Linked DNA regions of Sus scrofa. The main gene of each other region encodes a partner of the protein of the gene in region 2 in a complex. Links are inferred from orthologs where the notes say so. Each region holds a gene or a part of one and is shown on either strand. Other genes may lie near its edges. The genes, in order: NGF and NTRK1.

The links.
Region 1: the proteins of NTRK1 (region 2) and NGF are in contact, whole or in part, in a crystal structure (PDB 1WWW), measured with the Homo sapiens proteins. The link is inferred for Sus scrofa from reciprocal best matches to the Homo sapiens genes NTRK1 and NGF. Residues at the interface, in NP_002520.2 of Homo sapiens: His291, Val294, Glu295, Met296, His297, Cys300, Pro302, Phe303, Ser304, Leu333, Glu334, His343, Gly344, Cys345, Arg347, Thr352, His353, Met379, Asp380, Pro382; in NP_001424474.1 of Homo sapiens: His125, Pro126, Ile127, Phe128, Arg130, Gly131, Glu132, Phe133, Ser134, Ser138, Ser140, Trp142, Tyr173, Phe175, Arg180.

What each region holds. Positions count from the first base shown.
Region 1 is NC_010446.5:105,254,939-105,258,845, reverse strand, and holds the start of NGF (beta-nerve growth factor), read right to left. Parts: upstream 2,156-3,907; 5' UTR 2,057-2,155; intron 2,039-2,056; exon of another isoform or gene 1,885-2,038; intron 1-1,884. UniProt on the Homo sapiens protein: Nerve growth factor is important for the development and maintenance of the sympathetic and sensory nervous systems.
Region 2 is NC_010446.5:93,224,411-93,228,217, forward strand, and holds part of NTRK1 (high affinity nerve growth factor receptor), read right to left. Parts: intron 3,318-3,807; coding exon 3,185-3,317; intron 1,322-3,184; coding exon 995-1,321; intron 577-994; coding exon 559-576; intron 400-558; coding exon 347-399; intron 59-346; coding exon 1-58. UniProt on the Homo sapiens protein: Receptor tyrosine kinase involved in the development and the maturation of the central and peripheral nervous systems through regulation of proliferation, differentiation and survival of sympathetic and nervous neurons.

The DNA.
Region 1 (3,907 bases), about 12 Mb from region 2:
GGGGGAGACATGTGGTGGGCAACAGGAGAAGCTGAGAACCTCACTCCTTGACAAAGGTTAAGGATATCGAAAGAGTCACCAGTATGAGGATAGCTGCCTGAGTGGACCCAGCTTGCCATTTCTCTAGTGGGTCTGGGCCTGGGTTGCTTTGGGGTAGGATGGCTGCCGGGGCAGGCATGGCACAAGCAGCTGGCTATAAAATCCTCTGAGGTACTCCTATAGCTCTATCAAAACATGAGTCCCCATGCCTCAGAGATTTGTGGTGCCTCCTAACATTTTCCCCATCAAGACTGCCCTTTTTCCCACCTGCCTAAAAATGTTGGGAAAATCATGGTGGGGGGGGTTGGCAGCATGTGATGGTAATCCCAACCCCCTTCAATGACCCAAGTATGAGCCACATTCAAGGCCAGCAGGGCCAGTCCCAGCCCCCAGACCATTCACACTCCCCACCCCTAGTCCTCAGTTGCTGCTGAACCTCTGGGAACAGATCCCATAATGGACTGACATTTGGGCCGGCCAGGCTGACGTATGACTTCTGCAGAAGAGACCCATGCAGATCCAATGTAGCCTTTCTTCATTGGCTCTTCAGAAGGGGAAAGTTTCAGACGTTCAAACTGTAGACACTGCACAGGAAGGGCTGGCAGGGTCCAATGGCTGCTGCCCTCCTCTGCGCTGAGAGGAAGAAGTAGTCCCCTCCGGCCGCAGACTTAACTGACAACTTCAAGTTTGAAGACCCGGAATAGAAGATACTGGTGGGCCCGCCACTGCCATTCTGAATTTGAGAAAGCAGCTGACCATACATGTGAGTGGGGGAGGAGGTGTCTGGCGCTGGCAGTGGGTGTGCCCAGAGGATGGAGCCAGGACAATTAATCAAGTGCCTTTTCTCCAGGATTTCCATTGGCCTCAGATGACGGAGGGGGCAGAGATACCCAGGAGAGTCCTATTTTGGTTTCCCGCTGGGAACGTGCACTAAGTTTTTCTTAATACCCATAGCACCCAAAGGCTTTACTGTAATACCCTTTAATGCATGAAACACCCATAAATTATCCGACAAACTGTTACAACTTCCAACCTGGAACAACTTGGAAAAACCAGCCTAGCAAGCAAGCTCTTTTTTAATCTCTCAAATCACAAGAGAAGAGAAAAGTTCAAGCAGAAAACACCTTCCATGAGAATCTCAGTTGTTGTTGTTTGGAAAGAAAAAGGAGAGTTGTAATCAGAGTGAAGCCGCTTGTTTACGATGGCTCAAAGATGCCGCTCGCGACCCGGAGTCCTGTCTCTCCCTCCCCTAGGTCTTTGCCGTCTGGACCCAAGGCACTGCCGCCCCACCCCTCCATACTAGCTTCTCCCGCACCTGGCAGCAGACAGCTGGAGGTGAGGCGTGTAACCCACGTAGCAGGACCTTGCATGGAGTCCCTTGGCGAGCAGGCTTCCTCTAACAACCCCTGGGGCCCTCTCTGGGGATTCCCAGTTCTCCAGCGACCGGCGAAGGAACCCGGAGACCCTTGCTTCATGCCCTGCACCAGGTCCAGGGCCCCCTGCCCGCTCATCCCCTTCCCTGGGGGCAGCGTAGCACTCGAGGGACTAGGCACACACCCCAGCCCGCGCGCGCCCTGCACTCGCACTCCGCCGTGCAGATCACCACTCCTGCGGCCCCGGCGCGCTCGCAGCCCGCGCATCCCTCTCGCCACACTCGTTCGCTCTCTCTCACTTGAGTGCCGTCCCCCTTCTAGCCCTCGAGCTAGTCCTTGGCACCGCCGTACAGCGATTTCAAGCGCCAGAGTGGCCTCCCGCACTTCGGGCCATCGGGAGGTTGGGAACTCCACGACCTGAGAGAGCCCTGCTCCCCACGACTCGCCCACCCGCCGAGGCTCCCGCACCCACTTGGGACGCTCCTCTCACGGCCGCAGTTCAGCCCATGGGAGCCTCCGGGGCACCCAGAGATCTGGCCACACTGGGATCCACGCATACTCTCCCCGGGAGCCCAGCCACGCCGGACCGCGCCGGTGCCCGAGCTGCGCCCCTCTCGGGCTGGGCTCAGGGCAGCCTGACTCACCGCTGCGCTCCCCTCTGGCTCCCAGCGCTCTCTGCTGTGCCGGAGCGCCGAGCTGCTCTAACACAGGCTTCTTGAATTCTTAGCCCCTCCTCCCGGACTCCTGAGTCACCCACTCCAAATCCTTTCCCCCACTCCAACCCTCCGCAGCCCCAGCCCCGCACCTGCTCCAGCCAGGCGGAGGTGCCCGCCAGTAGGGGTCCTGGGGACCAGAGAGCGATCTTTCCCGGGAGGGCGGGCTTGACCCAGCCAGGGTTGGGGGTCAAACCTCCAGAGGTCAAAAGGAAATGCATCGGCATTGGAGGGGCCGCTTGCAAAGCCCTACTGGCTGGGGATTTTTCTGGGGCACCAGGCGGGGGTGCTGGCCTCGGACGCCAAAGGGCCAACTGGCTGGGGGTGGGCGGAGTCGCCGGGAGCTCCCCGCACCTCCCCTCCCTTCCCTCCTGCGAAGCCGGCAGCCCGCGCCTTGCTTCCAGCTCCTCTGGGGTCTGCCTGGTGCCATCCTTCGTGCCCTGGGCTTGGGCTGCTCCAGCTCCTGGGAGCCAAGAGAGAAAAGCCCAGAGACCTTTTTTCCCAGGACGCCTCCTGTCACCCTGGGAGAAAAGAGTACCCAGGGGAGCTCCAGGAGATGCAGGTTCCTGACTCCTCTGACACAGGGAGAGCTGTGGCTCCTACAGCAGAACCAGCTAGAAGGCCCTGGGGCAGGGCACTTAGGCATTAGGACCTAGAATCAGAGCCTTACCTTCAGGCCCTGATTATAGAAGCTTCCTTTCCGGGGTGCCTGATCCTTCTGAAATTGTAAGCAGATTTGTCTACTGTGTGATGTGTGGTTTTTCTGGGTGGAGGGTTCCCAACTTTCATCAGTTTTGCAAAAGTTCTGTGACTCTAAACTGACCCAGGCAGAGAGCCTTCTGCCCCACCCCAAGCCCTACCCAAATTCTTTTTCTCCGCCATCCGTACTTTCAGTTAGGCAGGATCTCGTAGCTGGCCCACCAAGATTTCTTGGGTTCCATGGATTCAGAGCTTGACCAGGGAGTTTGTCTGACCCATAGCCCAGAAATATCCCTAAAGTCAGATTTCCACCAAATGTGCATCATTAATTGTAATAATGTTCTGGGGGATTCATGGAGCTTTGAAAATTCACACCCCCGTCCCCTGGTATTGAGCTTGTATGTAGGTGTCTTCACTTCTTCCTTGAGCAAATTGCATACAGAACCCCTCCTCTGTGCCTGATGCCACACGGGAGGAAGGCTTGGAGAAGAGAGTTAGAGAGATAGGTGGTGGGGGGAGGCAGGCAGAGACTCCCTTTGTGGGTGAAGCTCTGACAGCACAATTAAGGTGAAGGTCACTCTCAGGCACTGGGATTTAGTGAGGCACAGGAGTTCCTGCTTTAAGTCCAAGGGTGGCCCTTGTCCCCCAGTGGAGGGCACTTGAGCCACGTGAGGCCCCGCTTAGGCACTTGACACAGACTAACCTGAGGTTTCCGCTTCTTTCTGGTTTTACCTTTGCTCCCATACTTTATTCACCCACATATGTATGCTCTGAGAGGGATGAGGTAGGAGAAAAACCCCAGACTCAGAAGAGCGTTTGAGCTTTGATACGACCTCGTTATTTCCCAGCAAAGCCTCTTTCCCTTGAGTTGTTCAGATGCAAACTGGTGGAGGAACACTTTGGAGGTGAGTGTAAGCAGCCGGAGCCACCATGAATGGGCCTTTCTGTAGAAGCAGCATCAGAGTCAGGGTGATCCATTAGGAAATTTATCACCGTCAGTTAAACAAAGGAATTTCCAGACAATAGGACAAATTCATTCATCAATCATGTCATGTATAAACTTGTTTGAAAGCACCAGCCCTA
Region 2 (3,807 bases):
GGAACATGGTAGAAAGGAAGAGGCAGGCAAAAACGGCCAGGCCCACGGCCATCGAGACCTGGGGATGTGGTGTGGTTAGATCTGGGGGTTCTCCTGGGCTTTCAGCGCTCCCCCGGCAAAACATTTCTCCATCCTGCATAGACGCCCAGAACCGAGCCCCCAGGCCTGCCTCTTCCTCCTCCTCCTCTCCCCCCGGAGGCCCCAGGCCACGATGTGAAGGAGGCCACCGAAGCTCAGATCAGACTCTTGTGATCTCCATGCTCTGACCAGAAATTATATGCAGGTGCGCCTCTAGCCCAGCCTCCTGATCCCGAGTCCCAGACTAGCTTCCGCTTTCCAAGCTCACCCCAAAAGGTGTTTCATCCTTCTCCACTGGGTTTCCAGATGTGCTGTTGGTGTCTGTGGGGACACAGGGCAGGAAGTGTGGGCTTTGGCACACTCTCTGTCTCCTCCACCAGCTCCCCACCCTGGCCCCGGCTGACCCCTCAGGGATCAGGATAAGTGGACCCTCTGCCCCAGGGACCAGAGAGAACCTGCCCTCCAGCCTGGGCTACTCACCGACTGGCGAGAAGGAGACTGCAGCAGGAGGGAGGAAAGAAAGCAATCAGATGAGGTTAGAGAGCAGTGAGACCCTTCCCCCTCTGGGACTCATCCCTTCTTGGGGTAGGGGCGGGGCCAGGAGGCAGAGCTGCCGACCTCAAAGGAGAAGATGCATGTGGCCCTTTTCCAGCCGGGCGGGGGATGCCCTGGTGTCTGGCTTTCTCTTCAGCCAGCCCGAGAGAATAGAATTGCTCAGGGGTTCAGGACTCCTGGGGTAGGAGCAAGGAGGCCAGCGCAGAGCTGGACACCAGATCTCCAGGCTCCTTTCTGTCCAGGACCAGGCACTCCAACTTCTGAGGGCAGGATCACAGCAGGAAGTGGGTCGGGCATCCCTGGTCACCTGGATCTGTACCCAAGTAGAGCCTGAGGGTGAGGACAGGGTTCAGGGTCGCACCAGGGATGGGGTCCTCAGGGTTGAACTCAAAAGGGTTGTCCATGAAGGCGGCCATGATGGAGGAGGCATTCTGGCCCAAGGGGTTGGTAGCCAGCAGCGTGTAGTTGCCGTTGTTGACGTGGGTGGGCTGGTTGAGGCGCAGGCAGCCGTGCCGCATAGTCTCATTGGCTGCCGGCTCCATGAACTCAGTGAAGATGAAGCTGGTCTCATTGAGCACGGAGCCATTGAAGAACCAGCGCAGGGAGGGTGCGGGCTGCCCGTCCACCGAGAAGGGAATGCACCAGTGGTGCTGCTCCACTGCTGTGTGCAGGCTCACGATGGGAGGGACTGTGGGCCAGAGAGGGGGACAGTGAGAGTCAGGAGGCAGCTGCAGGGAACCCAGTGCTGACCTGACAAGTCTCAGGTTGGGGTGGGGGAGGGGGGTGGACAGCCTGAAATCAGGGGGGTGGGCCTAAGAGAAACTGGTCTGCAGGCCCTAAGAAATTCACAAGGAGAGACATTTTGAAGAAAGGTGACAGTAAATCTTAAATAAATCAGGCAGCAGGTGCATAAAATTCAGAAGCTTAAAGAACTTCGGTGGTCAGTTGAATGTAAGTAAGTAAGAGTCCTAAAGCAGTGGGGTACCAGCTTATTGGAAATTGGAGATTTTTGGATGAGGGATGGAGAAAAATAAAGTGTAATTAACATTAAAAGGATTGGGGAGTTCCCCTGTGGCACAGCGGGTGGAGGACCTGGTGTTGTCACTGTAGCAGCTATGGCTGCAACGGTGGTGAGGGTTCAGTCCTTGGTCCAGGAACTTCCACATGCTGCAGGCGTGGCTGAAAAAAAAGATTGGGAGGGGGCCTAAATATGAAACAAGAAAAACAAGAAACAATTAAAGAACTTCTTGAAAAAAGATAAGGGTTTGAAATAGACCCAAAAGAGGCAAAAGCTCTTCAATAACAGAAAAGATATATGTATATATATATATATATATATACATCTATAAACGTATATAATTGGTACTGGAATTCTAGCCAGCATTCATGCAATGGAATACTATTCAGCAGTGAATGGAAGGAACTAATTGTTACCCCCATTAATATGGATAAATCTTACAAACGTTGAGCAGAAAAAACTAGACACAAAGTAATACATGAGGTGTCATTCCATTTATATGATGTACAGGAACAGGCAAAATTCAACCATGTTGATGGAGAAGCATATGTGTGTAAAATTATTTTTAAGAGCAAGGAAACGATTATCACAAAATTCAGGATGGGAGTTCCCGTTGTGGCTCAGAGGGTTGAGAACCCAACTAGCATCCATGAGGATGTGGGTTTGATCCCTGGCTTCACTCAGTGGGTTAAAGGTGCTATGAGCTTCGGGGTAGGTGGCAGATGTGACACTGATCTGGCATTGCCATGGTTGTGGTGTGGGCCAGCAGCTCTGGCTCTGATTAGACCCCTAGCCTGGGAACCTCCATATGCCATGGGTGCAGCCCTAAAAAGACCAAAAAAAAAAAAAATCAAAAAGTCAGGATGTGGTGCAGGAGAAGAATGGGCTTCTGAGCGGGGAGAGAAAGGGAGTGTCTTCTGAAGTGCTGGTAAGAATAGCTATTGTTTAGGATTTCCTCTCTTGGATCAGTGGGTTAAGAACCCAACTAGTATCCATGAGGACACAGGTTCGATCTCTGGCCTCGCTCAGTGGGTTAAGGATCTGGCGTTGCTATGAGCTGTGGTGTAGGTTGCAAATGTGGCTCGGATCTGGTGTTGCTGTGGCTGTAGCGTAGGCCAGCAGCTGTGGCTCTGATTCGACCCCTAGCCTGGGAACCTCCATATGCCGCGGGTGTGGCCCTAAAAGGAAAAAAAAAAAAAAACCTAGGATATAGGGCAAAAGTTCGACAGAGGGATGGATATGAAGAAATACAGTGGAGCAGTGAGAACGGGCAAGCAGCTGGTGTCGAGGGCCTCAGGTAGCAAGACTTGGGCAGTGGGCCAAAAAGAAATCCATCTCCATCCCTCTGGCCTTGACGAGCCCACAGGACTTCCCTCAAAGGATCAGGTTTTCATGGGAATCTGGAAACAGCTGGGAGGGAGCAGCTGTGGACACACACACATCCCACCCCTTTCCTCCAGCCCCCTGGCTGGGGCTGACATCTTTGGGGAAGATGGGATGGGGGTGCGTGCCAGGGCAGCCTTGGGGACTCACAGGAGACGTTGACCTGGACGGAGATTTCAGCCCGGCCCACATGATTCTCGGCCCAGCACGTCACGTTCTTCCTATTGAGGTCACTGGTGACATGGGCCAGGGTCAGTCCCAAGGACGGCAGACTCCCAGATTGCTGGGTCAGAGAAGAAAGGAGAAAATCCAGAAGAACATCAGCTGCCTTGGGGCTAGAGGCGGGGTGCAGGGGCTGGGGCTGACGTCTTTGGGGAGCCCCTCTGGTTGCAGATGGAAAAGAGAGGAGGGATGAAAGGGAGGGGGAGGAAAGAGGTGTGGGAGAGAATAGAGCAGAGAATGGACTTCCTCCGCGAGAGCTGGTTTGCAGGCTCTCCTGGATCATTTATTTAATGATCTGAAAAATCTAGAGCACAACCAATAATCTCAAAATCGGCACAACACATCCCAAACCGTAAAACCACCCATCTGAACAACTCGGTAGATATCAGAGATCCCAAGTTCCAAATGGACACAGCGAATCAGAAAACCAGCTAGGACCTCACCACCTACACAATCTGTTTTACGCATAGTTCTAAGAAACTCAGGCTCAGCCCCAGAAAGATCAGAAACAAAGAGATGGTGCCGATAACAAGGCAGCAGTTAGAAGCAAC